Linked DNA regions of Mus musculus. The protein of the gene in region 5 purifies or fractionates together with the protein of the main gene of each other region. This does not show direct contact. Links are inferred from orthologs where the notes say so. Each region holds a gene or a part of one and is shown on either strand. Other genes may lie near its edges.

What was found.
Region 1: the proteins of Myh9 (region 5) and Gsk3b purify together in Homo sapiens (affinity purification with western blotting; 4 studies listed by BioGRID, with this or other methods). This does not show direct contact. The link is inferred for Mus musculus from reciprocal best matches to the Homo sapiens genes MYH9 and GSK3B.
Region 2: the proteins of Myh9 (region 5) and Enkur purify together in Homo sapiens (affinity purification with western blotting; 4 studies listed by BioGRID, with this or other methods). This does not show direct contact. The link is inferred for Mus musculus from reciprocal best matches to the Homo sapiens genes MYH9 and ENKUR.
Region 3: the proteins of Myh9 (region 5) and Ube3a purify together in Homo sapiens (affinity purification with western blotting; 3 studies listed by BioGRID, with this or other methods). This does not show direct contact. The link is inferred for Mus musculus from reciprocal best matches to the Homo sapiens genes MYH9 and UBE3A.
Region 4: the proteins of Myh9 (region 5) and Sptan1 fractionate together in Homo sapiens (co-fractionation; 3 studies listed by BioGRID and IntAct, with this or other methods). This does not show direct contact. The link is inferred for Mus musculus from reciprocal best matches to the Homo sapiens genes MYH9 and SPTAN1.
Region 6: the proteins of Myh9 (region 5) and Usp11 purify together in Homo sapiens (affinity purification with mass spectrometry; 3 studies listed by BioGRID, with this or other methods). This does not show direct contact. The link is inferred for Mus musculus from reciprocal best matches to the Homo sapiens genes MYH9 and USP11.

What each region holds. Positions count from the first base shown.
Region 1 is NC_000082.6:38,087,501-38,091,800, reverse strand, and holds the start of Gsk3b (glycogen synthase kinase-3 beta), read right to left. Parts: upstream 2,801-4,300; 5' UTR 1,276-2,800; coding exon 1,188-1,275; intron 1-1,187. UniProt on the Homo sapiens protein: Constitutively active protein kinase that acts as a negative regulator in the hormonal control of glucose homeostasis, Wnt signaling and regulation of transcription factors and microtubules, by phosphorylating and inactivating glycogen synthase (GYS1 or GYS2), EIF2B, CTNNB1/beta-catenin, APC, AXIN1, DPYSL2/CRMP2, JUN, NFATC1/NFATC, MAPT/TAU and MACF1.
Region 2 is NC_000068.7:21,202,566-21,206,527, forward strand, and holds the start of Enkur (enkurin), read right to left. Parts: upstream 2,801-3,962; 5' UTR 2,584-2,800; coding exon 2,507-2,583; intron 1-2,506. UniProt on the Homo sapiens protein: Adapter that functions to localize a calcium-sensitive signal transduction machinery in sperm to a calcium-permeable ion channel.
Region 3 is NC_000073.6:59,227,394-59,231,549, forward strand, and holds the start of Ube3a (ubiquitin-protein ligase E3A), read left to right. Parts: upstream 1-1,356; 5' UTR 1,357-1,878; intron 1,879-2,296; exon of another isoform or gene 2,297-2,407; intron 2,408-4,156. UniProt on the Homo sapiens protein: E3 ubiquitin-protein ligase which accepts ubiquitin from an E2 ubiquitin-conjugating enzyme in the form of a thioester and transfers it to its substrates.
Region 4 is NC_000068.7:30,010,560-30,014,059, reverse strand, and holds part of Sptan1 (spectrin alpha chain, non-erythrocytic 1), read right to left. Parts: intron 3,362-3,500; coding exon 3,262-3,361; intron 3,151-3,261; coding exon 2,953-3,150; intron 2,875-2,952; coding exon 2,728-2,874; intron 615-2,727; coding exon 511-614; intron 385-510; coding exon 222-384; intron 1-221. UniProt on the Homo sapiens protein: Fodrin, which seems to be involved in secretion, interacts with calmodulin in a calcium-dependent manner and is thus candidate for the calcium-dependent movement of the cytoskeleton at the membrane.
Region 5 is NC_000081.6:77,772,676-77,776,175, forward strand, and holds part of Myh9 (myosin-9), read right to left. Parts: intron 3,260-3,500; coding exon 3,128-3,259; intron 2,606-3,127; coding exon 2,399-2,605; intron 2,020-2,398; coding exon 1,882-2,019; intron 1,384-1,881; coding exon 1,260-1,383; intron 769-1,259; coding exon 597-768; intron 1-596. UniProt on the Homo sapiens protein: Cellular myosin that appears to play a role in cytokinesis, cell shape, and specialized functions such as secretion and capping. Required for cortical actin clearance prior to oocyte exocytosis. Promotes cell motility in conjunction with S100A4.
Region 6 is NC_000086.7:20,702,749-20,706,708, reverse strand, and holds the start of Usp11 (ubiquitin carboxyl-terminal hydrolase 11), read right to left. Parts: upstream 2,801-3,960; 5' UTR 2,742-2,800; coding exon 2,590-2,741; intron 1-2,589.

The DNA.
Region 1 (4,300 bases), on a different chromosome or scaffold from region 5:
CCTCTCAGCAACAAAACAGTTTTATCTGTGTCCTCCCTCTTCTTTCTCATCGAATAAGGAAAACAACATGGATATTTTGGCCAGAATCTGCAACTATGTTCTAATAAGCTGTCATGAAATACCACATAAACATCTCCACAAATAGATACATTTGAACACTGGATACTCAGTATACCAAACACTTCAAGAACACAAGACTCTTTTTTTTCAGCACAGATTCCCCGGGAAAGACTGACAGATACTGACACATTTTAAATTATCCTAAAAGGGTATCCTCTTGTACTCTTAAAAATAATAATAATAATAATAACAAGTAATAAATGCAATGCCACCTCAAAATTAAACTTAAATGAGGAGTCAGTGACAACACTTAACTTAGTTTGTGGCAAAATGACAATACAACCTCAATCAAAAGTTGAATCTCCTTCCAAGTTACCTTTTGATTAAACAAATTATATGGTGGCAGATTGGTAATGTCAAAACAGGAAGGTTAAGAGATAACACATTAAACCACTTGAAAACAATGCACTTAGAGATGCGACTGCTGCGGGATATTTATCAGCTTCCACCACCCCTAGACGAGTGAGGGATGGATGCTAGCTTGCCTCCAACGGCAATGTGGGTTACCAAGCAAGTTCATCCCCAGATTCAAAAATACTTTGTGTAGTCACACGGGCAAATAGGAAATATTAGGAGGCTGGGGCATTTAATATCTCTATTTTGAATACAGAACCCTGATAACCTGAGCTAACTAAGATAAACTCCCTCATTCCAGAAGACAAGGACTCGGCAAATGTACATCATGGTTTATTAATCAAGCCTTGTCCTCCTCTTCTTTATTCAAAGGGATGGGCAAGCGAACGCTTCTTCCATCGCTTAACCCGGAGGCACTGGAGCACTTGAAAAGACTACCAGCAGCACGGAGAACGTAAGAAAAGAAGTTTCAAATCCAATCAGGCAAATAAAACTAATATTCTCTCAATCCAAGGTTAATGAGGCGGGGGGAGGGGGTACGGGAATGGGAGGAGGAAAAGGAGCCTGCCTCTTCTTGACTCAAGGCTGGTTTTGCCCTTTTCCACGACCACTGACTGTTCTATCAGGTCTGTTAGTGTAAGATCCTGGTATTTCGAGGTTTCTTATCTAAATGGTAAGGTGGAGGAAGGGTGTAAAATAAAATCGATACTCACTGCTAACTTTCATGCTACCAAAAGCTGAAGGCTGCTGCACTGGCTTGCAGCTCTCCGCAAAGGAGGTGGTTCTCGGTCGCCCCGACATGATGGCTCTTCTTGAATCACCTTTTCCTTCCTTAATCCTTTTCTTCCTTTTGTTTTATGTTAGGGTGCTAGGTTAATGATAAATGCAGCATTAAGTTCTCCCGCAAGAAAGAGAAAGAAAGACTTCGTTCTCTTGGCTTTTCACTCCTTTTGTATAGCTATTTAAGAAGAAGGAAAAAAAAAAGGAGCTATGTATTTCTTCAAGACAGATCGGTACGGATATTTAACACATAGATGATTTAGAGCTGGGAGAAAAATACAATTCTTTCACCTCCCTTTCCTGGAAGAGGAGAAAAAGGGTGGAGTGGAATCCTTAAAAATATATATATATCACGTGAACGAGGGCAAATACTTGATTGAAAATAAGTACTCTGAGTATTATATTTTTCCTCGGGGATTTTTTTCCGAGTCAATGAAGAAGGGAAGCGGCGGAAGGATCACGAGCCTCACGCTTGAAGAGAAGGGGGATGGGAAGGAGGGAGGAGATGGCTCGGAGATGCGACGGCAAACGCTGCGGCTCCGGCAGCAGCGGGATCCGGCGGTCTGACGGCGGCGGCGGCCGGGTGAACCGGAGGGCAGCGCAGTCGCGAGTCAGCGGCGGGCGGTGGCGGCGGCTCCTCTCCTCATTGCGCCAGGAGCAGCTGCAGGCGGTGGCTGGATCCAGCGGCCATGGCGGCAGCGGCGGCGGAGGCAGCTCCCTTCAGACCCCAGGCAGCGGCTCCCTGACTGCTCCCCATACGCCGGGGACATGGGAACCAGGCAACCGCTTCCGTCCCTCGGGGTCCCCTCCCCCGTCCGTGGCCCCGGCACGGCCGGCCTCCGCCCCTCGCCTTTGCTCAGCGGCTGCTCGGGAAGTGTCCGCGCTGTGCCCGGAGCCCGAAGCCCTGTCAGCGGCTGCAAGGCCGGCTCCTCCTTGCTGCCTTCCTTCCTTTGTCACTCGGCCCAGGCGGCGGCGACGGCGGCGACACAAGCCCGCATTCGGCCGGGTCGGGGGCTGCTCTGTGCGAGGCGCGCCGTCTGCGCAGCCGCCTAGCCCTTCCCCACTCCCCCTCCCCCTTCCTACTCGTCCTCCGCCTCCTTCCTCCCCCACCCAGCCCTTACACCGCCCAGCGCCCCGCCGCCCGCGTTACAGGCGTCTGGGAATCGCTCGCCGAGCCCGCGCCCGCCAGCTTCGGCTGTAGAGCCGAAACCCAAGCCGGAACCAATCAGAGACGTCGCTTGCTTGCAGCTCCTGCCGGAAAAAGCCGAGCGACCTGGATAACCAATGAGGAGACGCCGCTGGGAGACCACGCCCCAGCAACGAGGAATGCCGAAGGTAGCCGAACAGAAGGGAAGAGGGTTCTCCTTGTCCTGTGGCTGGCTAGAGAGAAGAGTCGACAATAGCGACAGTGGCCAATCAGAGCTGTTGGCCCTCAGGGAAAAGCCTCAAGAGTTAAGGACGGCGAAACTCCCGAGTCGCGGGAGGAACTGCACGGCTGGGCGCCGCGCCCGTTTCCTCATTGGCTGGACAACTCCGCTGGGCGTGTACCTTTCTCGGTGATTGGTGAAGGGAAGGGGGCTTCCGAGGACATCGGGCCAGTCAGAGCCTCCCCTCCCTCTTTGAGGCGGGGAGAAGAAGAAAGCGGAGGGAGGGCACCTATAAAGTGCCATCTCATTGGTCTGCAGCGTCGAGCTGGAGCGCGGGGGGAGGGGAGCTTCGAAAGGGAGAAGGAGGGTGCAGGAGCCCGTGGCGGCGGCCAATAGGCGCTCACTGCTGTGCAATCGCAAGACCTAGCTGCAGTGGGATTGGCCTCGGGTGGTCCCTAAGCGGGCGGACGGGATGAGTGGTCGGCCTGCATCTGCTTTCCGAGCCGACGCTCGTGCTGGCTGTGCAGCCCGGTCCGACAATGCTGCGGTCGGAGGGTCGGGCCCCGAGCGCTCTAGTGGGGCGTGAGGCCGTCCCCATTCCCGGGAGCTCCGCGGGGCGCGGCTTACCAAGTGCGCCCGAGGCTCCCCACCGCGCGTGCTGAGCCTATGAGAACGTCTATTCTCTGAAAGACGTAGGGCGCCGTGGCCGGGGCCGAACCCTCTAGCGCTTAAATGGGAACAAAGCTTCCAGAGAAGGAGAGCCTCTGGGCAGCCGCGCCCGCCCATCGCGGGGGGCCGCTGATCTCGTGGGGGGGGGGGGGGGAGCCCTTTGCAGCAGGCGCACAAGGCCAGACCAGGCCTTCTGGAAACGCCCCCGAGAGATGAGCTCATGCTAGATGAGCGCGGTCCATGGGCGCGACTGTCCAGCGCAAAAGCAGCCCCGAAAACAGGTGAGGGGAAATGTGGTCAGGACAGTACCTCGAATCCTAGGAGGAAGCTCAAGTCAGAATTGCTCGCAGCAGTTTTTAGTGTTATTGGATGATCAGCACACTGCTGCCTAAGTAGGTTTCACATGTAGTCCAGCGTCCATTGTTCTACAAAGGAGACCATTGCCTTGGTCCATCCGAGAGCTGTGTGGCGTGGCTACTACGACTAGAGTAAGTTAGAGTGGACACTGGCAATCCTGACTGTAATCCCGTGATACTTGTAATACCCACCCGCATAGTCATCTCTTTCTGTTGAGATGCTATCTCCAGAAAGCACATGTAAAAGTACACGTACTTGATCAGATTGCTTAGCTATTGCTTTAAAATCTGATGAGGGACTTGGGACAGAACAAAGTAAGCTTTGAAGGGAGCCAGTAAAGGTCTGGATAGTGTTTGCAGACTCAGATGTCTGTAGAGGCCTGGCAAATAAAGCGAATGACACCGGCCTGGTGGAAGACAATAGGAATGTTAGATGATGTGGAAACGGGAGTTCCATCCATGCCCTTAAGGGGGTCCACCATTAAAATAATCGTATTCTCCTTTTTTTTTTTTTTTAATTACCAAAACCATAACGTTGAAGTTTTATGTGTGATCTCTAAATCTGACGTGTTGGCAACCGATATGCCGAAACCACGTAGACCAACAAAGTAAAAAATCCCAGGAAAATGTGCCCGACAGGCAGCCAATTTGTAA
Region 2 (3,962 bases), on a different chromosome or scaffold from region 5:
CCCGGAATGCCAGACCGACTAGTAAGTTGGACATGACTCTGTGGGTATTATCAGTTGCCACTGTAGCTGTTGACATGTATATTGGGTTAACATTTTAAAGTAAATCAATGTAACACTGTTTTTCCAGAGTCTTGGGTAAGATAAAAATGCAGTCTTACGTCCAAAATTTTTGAATTCTGGTGAATCTAATAAACTGACCTAAGTTCCTAACATTGTTACTTCTCTTATACAGGGTTGTTTGCATAGAATGGTAAACCTTGTTCTCTAATGAAATAAAGTACTGAACAGGTTGACTTATCTACAGATTTCCTTGGCAGCTAATTTTAACTGGTAGTGTTGGCACATTTCCTCTCTCCAGTGGTTTGCCTGCAGAATGCCAGTGAGGCGTGCCAACAGTTCTGACTGTATGTTATCTACAGAAGTGTGGGCGAGAGGCAGTGATGTGGATGAAACATGTCTGCTGCAATTTTTCTTGCTGTCAAAATTCTGTTTGCATATTATGTCCTTCTCTTCATTTATAAGGCAGAAAGCAAAAACTGATATTTTGAAGTATCTCTTCCACTCATTTATTTGAAACTTCCATTAGGGTTTTAAGTAATATATTTCTTTGCAGTTAATCAACATTTTAATGCTCTATTTCTGTTCGACAAGAACACTTCTGTTTGACAAACATGGTGTGGCACATCATGTTTGGGATCAGTTAGTGATCAGTCTCTGCCAGTGCCTTACAGGTGTGGCAACCTCTCCAAGAACTTGGATTATAATTCAATGATGCAAGAGGGACTCGTACATTTAAATATCTTCTTGTTATTAAGCATCTTAGTGAGAAGACTAAGGGAAGAAAGTTTGTAGCAGTGTGGTGAAGAAACATGATGAAATGTTTTATCATGCTTTAAAACAACAACAAATCAGTAGCTTGCTTGTGTGGCATCTTGTCAAAATCATAACAGGATCATTTAGGGCACCCCCTTTATTCCTTCTTATACTAAGTCTGTCTTGTAATTATTTTTTAGGAATAAACCAAGGAATTTATAATTTATGCTGTCACTCTAGCATGCGCAAGAATACTGGGGCACAGTTAGACACAGAACAGGGGCCAAATGAATCCCCTTTAAAACAAACAAACAAACAAACAAACAAACAAACAACAAACTTCCCAGGTGCATTAAAGCTCTTTACCACTTAACAAAATGCTGAACTAGTAGAATATCTTAACATCCAAACTCAGTATTCCATAGAAGGCAGTTTCTTCCAGTGTGCTACAGAGAGGAGGAAGTTTATCTTCAACAGTACATAGGAATTTTGGACCAAAAGTTGATTCAGCTACAAGTAATGTGAGCATTGCAAACTCCACACCGGTGTCAGCATTTTCATTCCTCCCCAGAGATGCCCAGCTGATAAGCAAGGGAAATACAATATCATGATTGCTCTGATATAAGCTGCCTATTCAGTTTGAGTTAAAATGGAAGGACCTACACTTTGCTGTTACCACTCCACGTCATAAAAAATTGGCCATTACATTTGGAAGGAACCTCCGAATGTCTACTTCACTTATTTTCAAATCAGAAAACAAGTGCAAATTGATTGTAGACCTCCACAATAATAATAACTGGTAACTCTTGATTTTTTTTTTTCTTGGTTGTTTGGTTTTAGAGACAGGGTCTGTCTTTGTAGCCCATGCTAGCCTTGAACTCAGATTCTCCCCATCAGCATCCTGGGTGCCGCAACAGGCATGCGCACCTGAGTGCTGGTTCTTTTAAAGTGGCTGTGACTTTCTTAAGTCAAAAGACAAAGGTAAATAACAGAAATCACCAACTCCTAGGAGGCATGGGACTGCCCTCTTCTCTCAGACTTCAATACAGTTTACAAAATACCTATATGGCCAAGTATCTGGGACATTTATTTTGAAGTTTCCTTTTTCAGATTTGGAGATTTTCAGAAATATAACAAACACATAAGAATTTCCTTCAGTTATATATTTTGGAATTTCCATCCATCCAACTGTACCCCTTTCATTAAACCACAAGATCTGTAAAAATCCTAGACATACTCTCTAGTCCATCATTTTTGTTAAACCAATTGAAATACTGAGGCCTAGAAACAAATGAGAATTCAATTTAGACACAAATTACGGGAGGCAAAAGAGTGCCTAAGTCAAATACAACATTGAGTTCCTAAATTAAACATCAGATTTCCTAAAACGGACGGATAAAACAGATTTTTCCCCCTCTTTTCAACGACATGGAATTTCACATTATACACAGCACCTAAAACCAAATTAATAATTGCATATTAGTGGGGGGCTATGATCATAAAATGGACGTCTGACAACACTAGCTCACTTTTTTTTTTTCTCTGTGAAATATGAAACGCTATTTAGATTTGTCCACCTGGTCTTAAGAAGTTGCGACCCAAGATTAAATGTAAAAGTCAGCCCCGTAAGTCTTTAAAAGAGGTCAACGATCTTCCTCTGGGCTGAAGTCATCGCTTTTGCTTACCCACATACCTAGGATGCTGGGGCGGCTCCTTCAAGTCACTGGGTATGAGGTTATAAATACTCTCGGAAGTGCAGGGTGAGTCCATGGCCACCAAGGAATTCCTTAACAAGTACTCAGCTTTTTGGCTCACTTTCCCACTGTCTCAACTCCTTCTCTCACCGCCTTTTTCTTTTCTTACTTTCTTATCAAAGAACTAAAATTTCTCTTTCGTGTAATTTCCCTTTGACCCTTTCGTAACAGTCCCTTTTTCAGGAAGAAAATAATTCTGCTCCGAGTCTGTTTAGCGTTGTTGACCACGTGGTTGCTAAGGAAACAGTTGCTAGGAGACGGGGCAACCTGGCTTTTATCTGATTCCTTTTTTGTAACCTCTTCTGTCTGAGAAAAACGTAAGGAAAAAGACGTTCCTGCGTCTTTGGAAAAGACGACATGAAAACATTGTCCCCCCCCCCCGCACCCAAACATTTTGTGGTTTTCCTCGGTACATCTGGAAAGAAAAATTCTACAATAGGGAGCAGGACAGACACGCACGCGTCACATAATAGTTTCCAACATTCAGGCCGCGCCCCTGCGGAGGTGGAGCGATCGACGGGGAAGGGGAGGAGCCTCGGGGTAATGGGCGGGGCGTCTGGGTTACGTGGTTGGCCTAGTGGCGCAGCGCGCAGTCAGCGCAGGCGCAGAAGCAGCAGCTTGGGGCGGGCTTGCCGGCTGAGGTTGCCAGGCGGTGCCGAAGGCGCTTCCCTTTCTCCCTTTCTCTCTTTCCTCTTCTTTGGGTGGTTTTCTTGGTGAGTTAATGGAGGAGGAATGGAAAGCCAGCGAGAGTTGTTACCCTAGCATCCCCCCTTCCGTCGTGCCCCATCAGGCCTCTCTTTGCCATCCACCTGTCGCACCGGACCCTGCGGCGGGCCCTGCGGTGCTCTGTCTCCACGGTGCGTGCGCGAGCGCTACCCGGCGCCAGGAGGACCAGCCTTTGGAAGAGGGCCTCGAATTTTGCCCAGGTTTCAGCCCTTGACTCCCTTTTTGACATGTTTTTGTTTTTTTCCTCTCCGAGAAGTGCTTATATTTCGTTTGAGCTGTTTGATCTCCCGTTCATGCATATGCACTTGTGATTGCACTCTCATTTGAAAGCCTTCACCCAGTCACATCCTTTGGCCCTGGGATTTGGGAGGAAATTTCGTGGGTCTAAATCCACTTGGCAGTTGCCCTGCCAGGGAAGTCAGGTGCATCAGTTCTTCAATTCTCACTGCCTGGTGGCTGGGTTAAATGGCCTGGTGGCTTAGTGAACTTTTCAGTCCTCACTTGGAAGGCCTCGCTCAATGCAAGTCGTGATTGGAGGCTTCTGCTAAATTTTATTCGATAAGAATAAAGAAACAATTTAGTTTCCCGTTTTTCGGTTTGATAGAATTTATCTATTTTTTTTCTGGGCAGCCCACGGTTCAGATGAATAATCTTTTGGGGTGGGGTGAT
Region 3 (4,156 bases), on a different chromosome or scaffold from region 5:
CATGCTGCAACAGTTTATGTACTTTACTTTTCTTAGCAGTCTAATGATTTTCAGTTTTGGTTTTGTATTTAAATAGTTTGCAAAGATAACTCTTTAAAGGGTTACATTTATTACTGGCCCCTTTCATATAATACAATGGTATTCCAAATGAGGATCTTTAATGGATGGAGAAAAAAAAAGAATAGAAAAAATTTAAAGTATCTTAAAATCTGATATAACAGTTGCACTTATTATTTATCCTGTAATAGTTTACACACACACACGCCTATTATTTTTTAATTTTAAAAAATTGCAAGCCTTTAATCCCAGCATTCAGAAAGCGAATCTCTGAATTCAAAGCCAGCCTGGTCTACAGAGTGGGTTCCAGGACAGCCAGGGCTTCACAGAGAAATCTGTCTTGAAAAACCAATAATAAAAATATTTTTTATAGTGGGGAGATCTTTCATATATATATGATGTGTATATATATATACACACACATACACACACATTATAGGAGCTGTAATAAACAGAAAAGCACATTAATACATGTGATTGTTACATTTTGAGCACTAGATGATTAAGGCTTACTAAGTTGCAAGCCAGGAAATAACATGTCAGCTAGTCTTTATAATAATTTAGTGTCAAAATCATTAACAACAAACCTAAGTTAAACCCTCACTCCGGTACCAACAAGTCACATGGCTCTAACAGGGTTCGGGTGTTCTGTAAATCAAAATTAGTCTCTATCCACGTGTGATCAAGCAAGGCGGTTTCTTCTCAGTTGACATCTACTGGAAGACAACACAGGAGGGGCTGGGCTTTTACCTACTAGTCTGGTAAGCCAGTGACATATCATGTTCTGGCAGAGGCTGATGGCCTTGTTTGCTGAAAGGTTGCCCAATCTCAACGCCTGAATCCTTTACTCGGACAGTTCGGATGAAAAGTCGTAAGGGTCAGCTCTAGCAACAAAACGCTTCTATGCCTCCTCGTGCCGCCAGTAGGCTACACCCTCTTGGCCTATTCGTCCCTCTGACTCCTGGGCTTTGCTAGGCTGGGTAGACCTGTCCGCTCTCGCGAGTACACCGAAGCACACTGGTCTATAGATTGAGTAAAAGGAGCAGAGGCTAAAAACACCAAGCCTCTCTCAGCCCAGTCTCAAGATGGCGACGATGCTGGCCAGCTTCCACCCAGCCCAAGGCCATCTCCCCTTCCCAAAGGCCCCTGCGCCGCAGGCGAAGGCGAGCTAGAGGAGGGCCCCACAGAGCTGCGATCGGGGCGGGGCAGAGCCCGTCGCCATCCCACGCACGCGCAACCCCGCCTCGCATCCCGCCTCCGGACTCCGAGCCCTCGCCCGGCAGGGTTGGCGCGCGCTGCCTGTCGGGATACTCGGTCCGCCCACCTAGTCCTCTCGTCCAGTGCTGCGTTCGCGAGATCCGTATTTCTCCCAAGATGGTGGCGCTCCTCTTTGGGTGACTCCAGGAGACGACAGGGCCTTTCGTCTTTGCCAGCACCTCGTCGCCCCTCCTGCGCTCGCTCTCTCGCTCGCGCACCGGGCCACGCAGCTGTTCACCGCCTCGTTACGCTTCTCTTCCGTCGACCTGTCGCTGACGGTGGCGCCTCCTTCTGCTTCTCTTCGGAGTTGCTCGCCGCCCTCGCCCCCCACTGTGGACAGATCGCGACAGCAGCGCTTCAGCGCCGACTTCAAGGTTGCCCAGGCGCCTGGCCTCTCGGCCTCGGTTTCCTGAGGAGAAGCGCGGGTCCCGCATGAGACCCGGCGGTGGCGCCAGCGAAAGGGAACGAGGCGGTGGCGGGCGGCGGCGGTGGACGAGGGCGACAAGGACCAGTGAGGCGGCCGCAGCTGCGAGGGCCGCAGCCCACGCGCGGGGGCGAGGACAGGTCAGTGCTGCTGCGGCTGCGGCCTGCCCGGCGCGCTCCCTCTGGTCTGTACCGCCGGTCCCCTCGTCACCCTCCGGCCCGCGCTGACAGGGTAGGCGCCGGGCCCTCACCCGCCTCCGTGAGCGAGTGCTTGGGGCGCGTGGTCTGGAGGGGCCGGTGCCAGGACTAGGCCCTGGTGGCTGCGGCTGCTGCAGCCTTAACTGTCAGTGCTGGCTGGACGCAGGAGGGAGGGTTTTGTCACCCACGGGTACCCGAGTGGGCCCGGGGTGGGGCGGACGTGCAGGGCGTCGAGATCGGGGGCCTCATCTAAGCAGAGATCGGAGAGCCAGCCGTGGCTTCAGGCTGCGAAAGGCAGGCCTTTTCCTCCAAAGGGGCGCTCTGGTGGGGAAGACATATTTAGATGTGTGCTTAGTGGGTTGGGGTATTGGGGGTGGATTGGAAGGAAGACGGATGAAGCGGCACCTCAAGCCCAAGGATTGCGCTCTGGTTTTATTCGTGTGCTGCTTCTGGTAGGATTCAGTAGTTGAACGTGAGTTACTGATTCCTCAGAAACTGCTGTGTTAATTTTCAATGCAAACCTGTAAGCAGTTGGCCTCCTCCTCTTCTCCCCTCCCCCTTTTCAGTTGAGAAAATGAAAAGGACGTTTTCCCCATTTTGATGCGGAGGCTTTTTGTTGGAAGAATCAGAGTTGAATGTGCTATAATTGCGTTAGCCTTAAAAATAGAAAGTATAATTTTAATAAGACTTTATCAGCTTTAGAAGAATCCTCTAAAGACAATTTTACGTCAATTTTTTTTATGTCTTTTGAGCATGCTAAAATAGAACAGTATAAAATCTCTTTGGGATTGCGTTAAATAGCTAGTGTACTGTTGGAAATGTTAACTAAATAGTATATGGGATGTGTTATCCACCATTATCTTACTTCGTGAAGGATATTCGTATAACCCATGGTTTTGGGAGAAGCAGCAGATTATGTTAAAATGTTTTGGATAGGGAAGTGCGTTTGAAATAAAGATGGCCTGAACTTTAAGAAATACAGCTGTTAAAAAGCTAAATATCAAAGCCCTATTGGACAAGAGACACGACGAATGTTTTTGACACACCTCAGATTAGTTAATACTCTTAAGATATCTTTTTGGTAAATTATGTAAATTTAGAATTGAGGAGAGATAAAAGGAAAATTTTGTCTTGTTATGTATGACAGAAATTGCTTTAGTATTAAATTCTCCTCTTAAATAGACTGCTTACTGCACTTTTAAGGAAGTGGATACTGCATCTGTATTGCTGATAAGCCTAAGTAAGGATGACTGTAAATCCATAAATACTTAGCTTTACAAAAAAGCCATGTATCAGAATCTGTAATAAAAATGAGAACTTCAACAATTCGCAGTCTATCGTTTAAGAAAGATACAGCACATAATAAAGATGAGATGACTTGTAGTTTTGTTTTCAAAATCAGAATGTAGGTTGTGAAATAATTTGTGTCAATATTTACCTTGCATGGTGTGTTGTGAAGTGGTATACACATACTTCTTTGGATGTTGCTCTTCATATAACTGAGGAGCTTAACTTTGAGTTTAGAAAATTCCTTTTGTATGCAGGTTTTGTAGGTGGCTTTTTTATCCCTGAAATAGCCACCATCACCCTTTTTTTTTTTTTTTTTTGAGAAAGGGTCTTATGGTATATCGCTGGATGACGTCTAACTCTCCTCTTGGCTTTGTCTCCAGGGTTCTGCGATTAAAAATGTATACCACCAGGACCGGCTATTTACCCTTTTTATGGTTTTAAATTAGAAAAATGTGATTTCTACCTGAGACAAAACTCATTCTATTTGATTCGTTTTTTTTTTTTTTTTTTTAACATTGCATTCATTAGGTATCTATAATGTCTCTGACATGTAAATTTTATTCAGTTGTATTTCTTAAACATTTGTGTCTTCCCTCAAATAATTGCAGTAATAATTGTTTCTCTCAATTTTTATGAACATTTTCTTTTTAATTGGCCATAGCTATTTTTTTTTCTGTTCAAGAGCTTAAGATGATCTTTTCAAATGTCCTTTAAAAAAACCAACACCTTAAATGAATGGTTACTGGTATATTATCATTTATTCTAATTAGGTTTGTTTGTTATTATTGATAATATTACTGTTAATGGATTTATATTATATTTATATGCAGCTATTAAAAACATCAGTGTTCTGATTTTTGCAACTGGAGATGAGTTTTAAGAGGTGGTCTTTTAAGTACTTTCAAATACGGAAAAACAATATAAAAATATA
Region 4 (3,500 bases), on a different chromosome or scaffold from region 5:
CGCATGGGAACAGCACAGGGGCAGCTCCATTAGACAGGTTATAGCTTCGACAAAGTCTAGCAAGGGAGCAGCTTTCAAATGGCTCTACTGACCCAGTGGACTTTTTCTAAGCTTTATCATGGAACACACAGTTTTATAGGTGTACTCCCTTAAAGAGTCCCATTTAACAGCTCTACTCAGTGACAAGGCACTTCAGAACAAGTGTCCTAGGAGCCCCTTACCTGGATGTTGGTGGGGTCCTTGTATGACTCATCACTGGCTGTCTGTAACTTCTCACTGATCCAGGCTTCAATCTCATCCACATCCCGGCTGAACTGCTGAAGTGTTTGAGATTCTCCAAGTTTTGACCTTTTTTCAATCATCTGGGCTTTTAGGCGGCGCCACCTGAGTGTGAAGACCAAATATGAGTGTTCTTTCCAATAAGAGAAGAAGCTGGAATAGGTATGGCTTCTCACATGTGGACATTCATCCTCTCAGAGCTGGGGACTGTCACCATCGCAGGACACCTACCGGTCAAGGACCTCATTGCGTCGGTTTGCAATGTCTCCCTTGGCATAGTGGTCAACGGCAATGAGCTGGTCGGCAAAGGCCTGCAGGGCAGCTATCTTTTCTTCCTAAAGGCAACAGGCAAAGAGGTCAGGGTGGGCTGAAGAAAGCCTGTCAGCCTGATAGTTTTCAGAGGAGATAGTTACACTTTGAGTGACGAAACTAACTGGTAGCAGGATCGGAACACATCGACACTTTAGAAGCCAGCTTGATTATCATCATTACTAGAGTAGGGTTTAATTCAAGAGGACTTAAGGTCATACTGAGGTGTGCAAGTGTAGGGACACCAGCAGATGTCTAACAAATTAGAATCATAAAATGATCACTGCCCTGTTTTCAACAAAATGGTTTTCAAGTTACAGCTATCTATTTTGTTCCTTGTTTTAGTGAATTATGTTATCAAAACATAATATTTTGCCCTAAAAATATTTTGGGGGTGGGGGCTGGAGAGATGGCTCAGTGGTTAAGAGCATTGACTGCTCTTCCAGAGGTCCTGAGTTCAATTTCTGCAACCACATGGTGGCTCACAACCATCTGTAATGGAATTCAATGCCCTCTTCTGGTGTGTCTGAAGATAGTGAAACAATGACAGTGTACTCATATATAATAAATACATCTTACAAAAAATATTTTTTTGGGGGAAGGGGAAGGGAGGCTGGGTATGGTGGCACATGCCTTTAATCCCAACAGGGGCAAGCAGATCTTTGTGTCTGTGAGTTCAAGGCCTGTTTCAAATAGCCACTTCCAGGGTAGGCAGGACTATCCAGAAAGACCCCCATTTCAAAATACAAAATAGAACAAATCTGGGGGGCTGGAATGATGTCTTAGCCATTAAGAGCACTTGCCGCTCTTGCAGAGGACCTGGGTTTTATCCCCAGCAACCATGTGGCTCCTTATAATTCTACTCTACTCCTACAGGATCACTTACTTATCTTCTGGTTTCTGAGGGAACTGCACACACATGCTATGTATACTTAGAAACCTGCACACAAATACTCATAAACAACTTAAACTTTTTCTATTCCATTATTATGTTTTGAAGGGCTGTGGTCTGAACCCAAGTTTCATGTTAGGCAAGTACTGTACCAGGGAGCTCCAGCTGTGTCATCATTCCATAATACAGAACTGATTTGAGGACCCCCCGCCCCTTTTTTCTTCTTAGACAGGGTTTCTCTGTGTAGCCCTGGCTGTCCTGGAACTTGCTCTGTTCCAGGCTGGCCTTGAACTCAGAAACCCACCTGCCTCTGCCTCCCGAGTGCTGGGATTAAAGGCGTGGGCCACCACACCCGGCTTCACCCAAGGATTTAAGCGCTCGCTGTTTGTGACCGTGTGATGACCCCAGGGTCTGCAGCACACTCAACAGTGCTCTAACCCTGGGTTGTAAACTTTCCTTTTTTGTTTCTTTGGAAACAGTTTTGTCACATAGCCCAGACTTAAACTCCATCTTTCTGCCTCAGCTTCCCATATGCTGAGATTATAGGAGTGTTACACCAAGCTGCTATTTCGAGGTTTCTTGTTATTGTTTTGAGACATGGTCTCACTATGTAGCCTTGGCTGGCCTGGAGCTGGCTATGTAGGCCAGGCTAGCCTCAACCTCCAGACATATGTCTACTCTACATGTCTCTGCTTTTTCAGTACTTGCAGGAATAAAGATGTGCTACCACATATGGCCCATTTTTAAAAATAGTTCTTCATATACACATTTTCACAACATTCATTGAAAGTATTCATTGGATGTATGACAGAATATACTTTTTCTTAAAAAAATTATTTCTCATTACAGGTATGTGTTCATGCACATGTAAACGCTGAGTGTGGGGGCCCGCAGCAGAGAGAGACATAAGCACCCCGGGAGCTAGAGTTACATGTACTTGTGAACCACTTGAGGATGCTGGGAGTTGAAATCAATTCCTCTCCAAGAGTAGTAAATCTGTGCTCTTAACCAGGAAGCCATGTAGCCAGCCCAATATAATGTTTCTGTTTTGTAACTGGTATGAAAATCTTAGTTGGTGTGAGCTTTTTTGCAGAACTGGGGATTGAACCCAGGACCCTCAAGCATAGTAGGCAGTACTCTACTGCACCTGTTTGTTTAAGGGAAAGATTCTCACTATGTACTCCTGGCTACAAATAAGATGTGACTCAGGACAAATCCAGACTAGGACCTCGAGGTCCAGGACCTACCTGGACATTGATAGCTTTGTCAAAGTCTTCATGTTTTTTGATCAGTGCCTCCACACTGTCCAGCGAGTCTCCTTTGTCTTCTGTGTTTAGGAAGGCCTCCCGGGCAGCCATCCAGTTTTCTGCTTGTTCACAGTCCCGATGGAACAGCTACAGAGTGGACAAGTAGGTGTGAAGGAGGAGTTGGCCACTTGTAAGAAAATACCTGATGAGACATAGTGTACATACCTGCAACTCCAGGCAGTGGTCCAGCATCATCCTGCGCTGGACCCAGGCCTTCTCCAGGTCTGTGCGCTCCTGGTCAAGAATATCAAGTTTCTCTTTGATCTCCGGGCTGGCATAGTGCCCGTGAGCTAACAGCTGCTGCCCAAACTGCTCAAATGCCTGGAAAGTGCCAGCCCTGGCATCAATTTCTGTCCGGTGTTCCTGCCAAGAGGAGTAAAGGGATTAGATAACTTGCTGAAGATGCCCATACTAGTGTCAAGCCCTGGTTCCCAAGACGGGGACGGGTAAGGCCACTAGGCCAGCAGGACCTACCTGGTGTCGCTCCAGCAAAGCCTCAGCTCCAGTGACGTCCTTGGCTAGTTCATCTGAAGATACCAACCCTCGTATTCCATTGATCCAAGACATGAGGTCCCTAGAAACAAGATTCACAGAGGAATACTTACTACACTATCTGGAATCAAGCAGGCCTCTGTCTAGGAACCAGTTCTATCTCTTCTGCATTAGAGGATTATTTTAGGTTAACCTAGACATAAATTGAATAGGACTGGGTT
Region 5 (3,500 bases):
AAAGTTGCTATTTAAAAAGAAATGTACACAGGGAACTGAAATGGCTCAGCAGATTTGCAACCAAGCCTGAGGGCTAAGCTCAATCTCTGGGACCCACAAATAGCAGAAGAGGACTCAGGCAAAATGCCCTCTGACCTCCACATGTGCAGCACAGCACATAATCCTTAGGCAACCCCCCACCCCCAACAGGTAAACGTAAAAAAAAAAAATTAAAGAGAAAAAAATGACTTTTAATATATGCCTATAGCCACAAAATAGGGAAGGAGCAGGGGACAGGAGACCATAGAGGGGAAGTGGGAAAGGAAATGGGTGAAAGGGGAAGGGAGGGAGGACTACAGAGAATGGGGAGGGAGGACTACAGAGAATGGGGAGGGAAGGAAGGACTACAGGAAATGAGGAGAGGGAGGACTACAGAGAATGGGCTGTAGATGGCTTTTGTGAAGATTAAACACTCTGGAACACACTGTCTGTGGATCAGAAGTGTCTTGCTCTTGGCTCTGACACAGAAGAAGAGAGCACGCTCATGGCTCAGCACCAAAAATGAGACGAGAGGGAAGCCACTGCACGTGCGACACTGGCTAGGAGCAGAGCCTCACCTGGCCAAGGCAGCCTGCAACTCCTCCTCCTTCTTGGCCAGCTGCATCTTGAGCTCTGCTATCTGCGCCTGGAGCTCAGCAATCTGGTCACTGAGGTCTGTGGAGTCTCCCTCCAGCTTGCGACGGGTCTTCTCCAACTCCTGCCTCTGCTTCTCCTCCCTACGGAGGCGCTCTGCCAGGAAGGGCAGGAAGGGACACGGAGGGAGCCTTAATTACTTGTATGAAACCAAACACTATGTACTTGTAGGACACATGGACTGTTTAAAGGGACACCATGCACACGCCCACTTCCAATTCTGAGATGAAACAGAACCCCAGAAGCTACCAAGGCCTGCGCGTCCCCATGGCAACACAGCACCTGGAGTTTGTGGTTCCTTCCTTCTTCCCTTCACTGCTGTCAAAAGTCCTACAGCTTCTAAAATGGCTGTGCCCAACACATGCCATATCAAAGCTTCATGCTTATCACCCCTCACACAGGCAACCGTCCGGCCATGCAGCAGTGAGCCTGCAGCCCTGACTCCCGGAGAACCAGATAGCGCCCCTGAAGCCTGACAGCCTTGCCTTAAGGCAATGGCCTAGCCCTAGGCTGAGCCTGGCTCGCCTATGAGTGCACAGGGCTCAGTGCTCTGCGTGGACAGGATGCTCACGGCCAGAGCGTCTCACCTTCCAGGTCGGTGATCATTGCCTCGTGCTTGTTCTTGAGCTTGGCCAGGCTCTTGGACTTCTCCTCCTCTTCCATGAGGTTGGTAGTGAATTCAGCTACTCTGTCTTCCAGCAGTTTCTTCTCCTGGAGGTGGAGGAAGAATGTCAGAGTTCAGTGCTGGCTAGGTACATACTTTAGCTCTTCCAAAGGAAGACTCAACCAGAAATGTATGGATCAAGGGTAAGGCAGGGCCTTAAAGAGTTGGCCAAGTTCATAGACACAACAAATGTGGGTATCCAAGACTTCCTGGGGTCAAGTAGGAAAGACTTCTAGGTGTCAACTAGTTTAGGGAAAGGACAAGCAGCCCCACCCCTGGCCCTACTAAGAGGCTGCCATCTGGAGTTTCCTCAATCCTAAAAGCTGGTAAAGACCTTTGCCAAGGAAAAACGGCAAGCCCCTGCCGCAACCTCCTCATTCATGAGAAAAGTCCTCTGCACATGGTGCTGGTGCCCAGGGGCCTGTGTGCCCGGGAGGACTGTGCTGCTGGACAGAGCCACGGCACCGCGGGGGATCGGGCAGGTAGGCAGGTCTTGGCCCTGCTCTGCCCACCCTCTCCATGACTGCATGCACAGCAGGCCCCACCTTGGCCAGTTTGCAGTTCTGGTCCTCCATGATGATCTGGTCCTCCTCCAGTTTCTTCAGCTTGGCCTCGGTGGTCACCTTCTCAAGCTGCAGCTTCTGCCGGGCGCTCTCCTCCTCCTCCAACTGCTCCTCAAGTTCCTAAAGGGAGAGGAGACGTGAGAAGGACGGAGGACACACACACACACACACACACACACACACACACACACACACGTCTGATCCCTCTTCAGGAAACCAGCATGTGAACTGGGGCACATGACTGACATAGTCTCAACAGTGTTCCCAGGGTGCCACAAAGAGGCCTGTGCCAAGGCTGATGGAGGAAGGACCAGAGAGAGAAACTCAGTGGCCTCAACGTTCAATGGGTAGCGCTCACGGAGATGTGAGCCGTGGACACTGAGTGATTGTCGCAAACAGGTGGACAAAGAAGGCTGATGTGGTAACTGAACCTGTGTGCCTATCTTGTGCCCCTGGCTGCCCACACTGTGCCCGCCCTGCCCGGCAGGAGCAGGGGTACCTGGATGTTCTGCTGCATCTTCTTCTTCTCGGCCTGCAGGTACTGGCAGCGCTCCTCCTCCTCCTCCACCCTGGCCTCCAGGTCATGGCAGATCTCCTCCAGCTCCTGCTTCTTCGCTGTCAGACGGGCCCGGAGCTCCTCAGCCTCGGCACACAGCTCTGTCTCCGCCTGCAGCTGCTCCTGAAGCTGCAGCTTCTCTGCCATGAGCTGCAAAGAACACGTGCAAAGGCTAAGTTCCCTGCGGCCTCCTTGTAGTCCAGATAAGAAATGTCCCCCGAGGCTGGCACGAAAGGCTTGTTTGCCAGTGGCTGGCACTGTTAGCTGCTGAGAGCTGTAGAGCAGAGGCCACTGGCACACATCATTGCAGGGAATATTGGAGTCCTGGCCCCTTCTTTCCCTCTGCTTCCTTAGCACAAAGAAGTGAGCCGCTCTGCTCCGCCACTCTCTGTCGTGGCACTCGGCCTCAGCAGGGGCCTGACCACAGGCTGAGTCTCTTCAGCCCTTTTAAGTGACTTATCTTAGGCACACTGTCACAGCAACAGAGCTGGTGTGTACCCCTCAAGTAGCTCCAGGGTGGGTGCTTATGGCTCAGGCTCCCGGCTGACAACTGCTCTCCCACTGGACTTGACTGCAAAGGTTTTCTAAGCAGTAAGCTAGCCGGCCTGACGGTGACCAGCAGGGGGCAGCACTGAGCGCAGCTGGGATTGATGGGTGGAGACTGACACCTACCTGAGACTGCATCGTCTCCATCTCTGTCAGCCTGTTCTCTGCAGCCAGATGTTTCTCTCGAACCTTTGTCAGTTCCGCCTCCTTGGCTAACAGCTCATCCTCATGTCTTATTGAGTTCAACAGGGGCTTGACCTGGGAGAGGAGACACAGGCAGAGTTGGCCCACCCCTAGAAGCTCCCTCACCTCTGGAATGCAAGCTCTAGAGACGACCTGCTACCTGGGGAGGGGGTACAAGCAGGTACAGCCTTCCTAGAAGTCAGTCTGGTACAACATGCAACAGGCCTCTGATTCGCTTAATTACGCTGCACGGAAACCACGTCTACGCGTGCATAAAGATGCCCGTGACAGCGCTGTTTATAGGCCCAAGACTTAG
Region 6 (3,960 bases), on a different chromosome or scaffold from region 5:
TGTAATTTATCTCCCCAGTAATGTATACACATTTCACTGGCAGTGTTGTTTAGGAACTTTGTAAAGTGGGAAAACCTGGAAAAGGCCCTAAATGTAAAGAACAGCAATAGTCTAATGTGGGTGTCCCTGATGGAGAGAGGAAGGGCCTGGGGGCTGATAATCAGATCAGAGAAATGTTAGAATGGAGAAGGGGTACCAGTCTCCAAAAGCCTTGCAGGTCACTGAGGACTTTACCATTTATACTGCATGAAACAAGAAGCTGTTGGATATCCTGAGGTACAGATGGACAGAAAATATAAATAAAATTTAAATATGTATTTAAGAAACTACTGCTTAAGGGAACAGCAGCATCTTAACACTTGAGAAACCTGGCAGACCAACAGGTCAAGGTTAATGTATCAAATTACATCATACAGATACTATTTACCATGGAATATAAGGGCTCACAGTCTATTTCACAAACACTCATGTTCATATATATGTGTATATTCACATATATATGAATATTGGAAGTTTATTATGATAATGAAATGTGAAAAGAGCCCTTTAATTCAAAATTTAGGATAACAGTTTCCTATGAAGATGGAGGGGAAAAGCATACGAGTTTTAAGGTAATGTTCTGAATCTTCACATGAGTGATTAATCCACATATAAAATTTACTAAATTTTCTTTGAAGTAAACTCACTGAAAATGGGTTTTTAAAAAGCCAGGCATGGTGGAGTATGCCTGTAATCTCAGCCAGATTTCTAAGTTTAAAGCCAGCCTGATATAGTTACTTCCCTGACAGCCAGGACCACATAATAGAGACCCTGCCTCTAAAAAGAGAGGGCAGAATAATATAAAGACTTCTCTGTATGCCCTTAGAGTCCCCAAATCTAACACACCTTATCCATTTGTTCTATTCTTTTTTTCCCCATATCATCTTTGGGGTATTTTCATTTATCTTAAACTAGACAAAAAAAAGTGTGCATTGATAGTATACAGCATGTTTTGATATATACATTGTAAAACACTAAATCAAACTAGTTAACAAACCAATTATGTCACACAGTTTGTTTGGGTAAGAACATGTAAAATCTATTAAGCAATTTTCATGTATAGAATAGAGTGTTATTAGCTATAATCACCATTTTGTACAAGGGAGCTCTTGAATTTGTTCCCTTTTGTCTAACTAAATTTTACATCCTATGACCAATATTTCCATAATCTTCTCCCTCCCATGTGCATTTTTAATATAATTATTTGGTAAGTTGTTTACACGATGGCTCCTTATCTATGAAATTTCAGTATGTATTTTTTCACCAAAGGATATTCTTTCATAACCACATTACAATTATCACAAGAAATTATCAGTACCAGTATTTTATCTACTGGCCTTTGTCAAATTTCACCGATTTTTTTTCCAATAAAATTTACAGTGAAAGAGAAATAAATTATGAGAAAGAACCCTCATTTTTAAAAATAATTTATTTTTCCTGTGCTAGATCCAAATGAGGATCACGTGTTGCATAGACTTGTTAAACTGCATTAATTCCTTCAATCTGGAACAGTTCTTCAGCGTATGCCTTTCATGACCTTGCCATTTTTGAAGCATACAAACCATTTCTTTCAGCAGGATGTCCATTTATGTAAAACGTTTTATACTATAATCTTTGTAGGTCTTACGATTTTCACAATTAAAAATGAGCAGCAACTCAAGAGAGAAATAGGAACCCGGGGAGCAGTAAATTTTAAGAGGCATTGATTAGCATTTAAAAAAAAATGGTCTAACAAGACAATTTGTTAAAAGCTGTGGATCCCTTTTAAATAGCCATTTCTGATTACAAAAATATTATCACGTGGAAAAAAAAACTCCCCAAATAATCTTTTGTAAACCACCTGCACTTTCTCCTGTTCTAGGAAGGAGACCTTAACTAGAGGGGTATTAAAAAAATAACAAAAACAACAAAAAAAAATACCGCGTCACAATCTTTGCTCTTTTGCAGGCGCCATTTTCTGCCCCAGGCACTGCCCCTCCTCCACAGTTTGCCCCTCCCCAGCCCTTCGCCTTGTTCCCAGGAGCCAGGCACCCTCCCCATACCACACTATTCCGCCCCTCGGCCCACAGCTATAGGCTATGGAGTTGCTCTTCAGCGGACGCCACCAAGCTCGTCGGGTTCACAGGCGCTTCGAGTACTTGTAGGCCGTTCCTTGCAACCGACGCAACGTTTTGTAACACACGCCACGCCCCCGCGTTAAGTACGGAGCCAGCCTCCTTTCCAGGCTCCAGGTTCCAAGACGCAGTCCCCTCTCACCCCCTCCCCAAACGATGCAGTCCCCTGACTCCCACGGCCATCCCCTTCACGCCCCACCCCTATCACAAACCCCATTTTGTCCTTAGGCGGCTGACTGCCCCACTCGGGCCCCGCCTTTTCCCCCAAACGTTGAGATTCATTCACTTAGCACTTCCACGCCCCCTCTCTCCCGCCGGCCCAAGCCCCTTCCCAGCCTCGCACCGCTTCATCCTCAGAATTTGATTTCTAAGTACCCCGCGATACTAACGCCCCCAAGGTCCCCTTGGCCAAGGCTTCATTGAAGCCCAGCCTCACCAGCTTTCGCCAGCTCGCAGTGGACGCTCTCGCCCATTCCCGATTTGGCGCCACTGTTCATCCAGGTCTGGCATTGCCTCGGGCTGTGTGTCTCGGTCCTCAGCAGAGGCCGGGACGGCAGCTGCAGCTGGGTCCGCTGCGACCGCCGCCATCACCGTCTGTCCTCCTCCAACTGCCGACGCAACTGAAGATAGGAAGACGACCCTCAACTGGCACTTCCGGATTCTGTCCCGGAAACGGAAGCAGAGCCCCCCAACAATCAGGGGGCTACTGCCATCTTGGAAACGTCACCATTTGGCGGAAATTGGGTGGTGGTCTGTGGTCTCTGCAACCAATACCAGGGGTTAACTCTCTTGTTTGGAACTAAGACATTAGTGCCTTGTGGAATTCTCTAACACCAGGTGAAATGGTCCTTTGGTGGAGGCCAGAGGTTTCCAAAATGAGCAAATATGTGTTTAGGGCCTCACAAAGGATGCTTAGGGCAAATAGTTGCCCCTTTAACTGCAAACCCATACTATGAAAGCGGCATTTTTGTTAGCCTAACGTGAATTACCTTTCTCATCCATCAAAACCAAATGTATGGGCTAGAGATATGGCTCAGAGGTTAAGGGCACTCATTGCTCCTGCAGAAGAAAGAGTTCAATTCCCAGAACCCACATGGTGGCTCACAACCATCCATAACACAGGTTCCTGAGGATCAGCGGAAATGGACAAGGTACACATATATGAATACAGGGAAAACATTTATATACATGAAATAAAAGGTTTTTTTCTCAAATAGTTTATCATCTCCTGAGAGCCTGAACTAGGGTGTGGCTCTCTGTGTGATTGTCTGTGTGTCATCTGTCTTTTCTATCTTTGAGACAGGGACTTTGCTAAATTGCCCCAGAATTTCCTCCAACTCTATGAAGCCCAGGCTGGCAATTGATTTGCCTTGATCCTCCTTCCTCAGCTTCCAAAGTGATGGAATACAGGCATGCACTTCAACATTCAGCTTCCTGAACTAGAGTTACCAGACAAATCTGTGTGTTTGTTGGAAGCATAACAAATACTGAGTCTGTCCAGTTTAAGTGACTTGCTGGACTTAAATAGTAGCCTTGGGTAGCAGATAACTGTATTGTTTTTGGCCCATGAGTAACAATGTGGGAAACTGAGAGCCAGAAATGTGAAATCATTTGTCCTCAGCTAGGATGTGCCATAGCACGGCAGACCTAGTTCCAGAGCTGTGTCCTTAAACACCAGGCAGATCCTCAAACTGTGGTCACATGCTATCAGCTCAGGAAACCCTCTCAGGAGGTTTCACAAAATCAAGACTTTCTGCAGTATCTTCACTCTCATTTTCATGCATATATAGTGGAATTATTCAGAGGG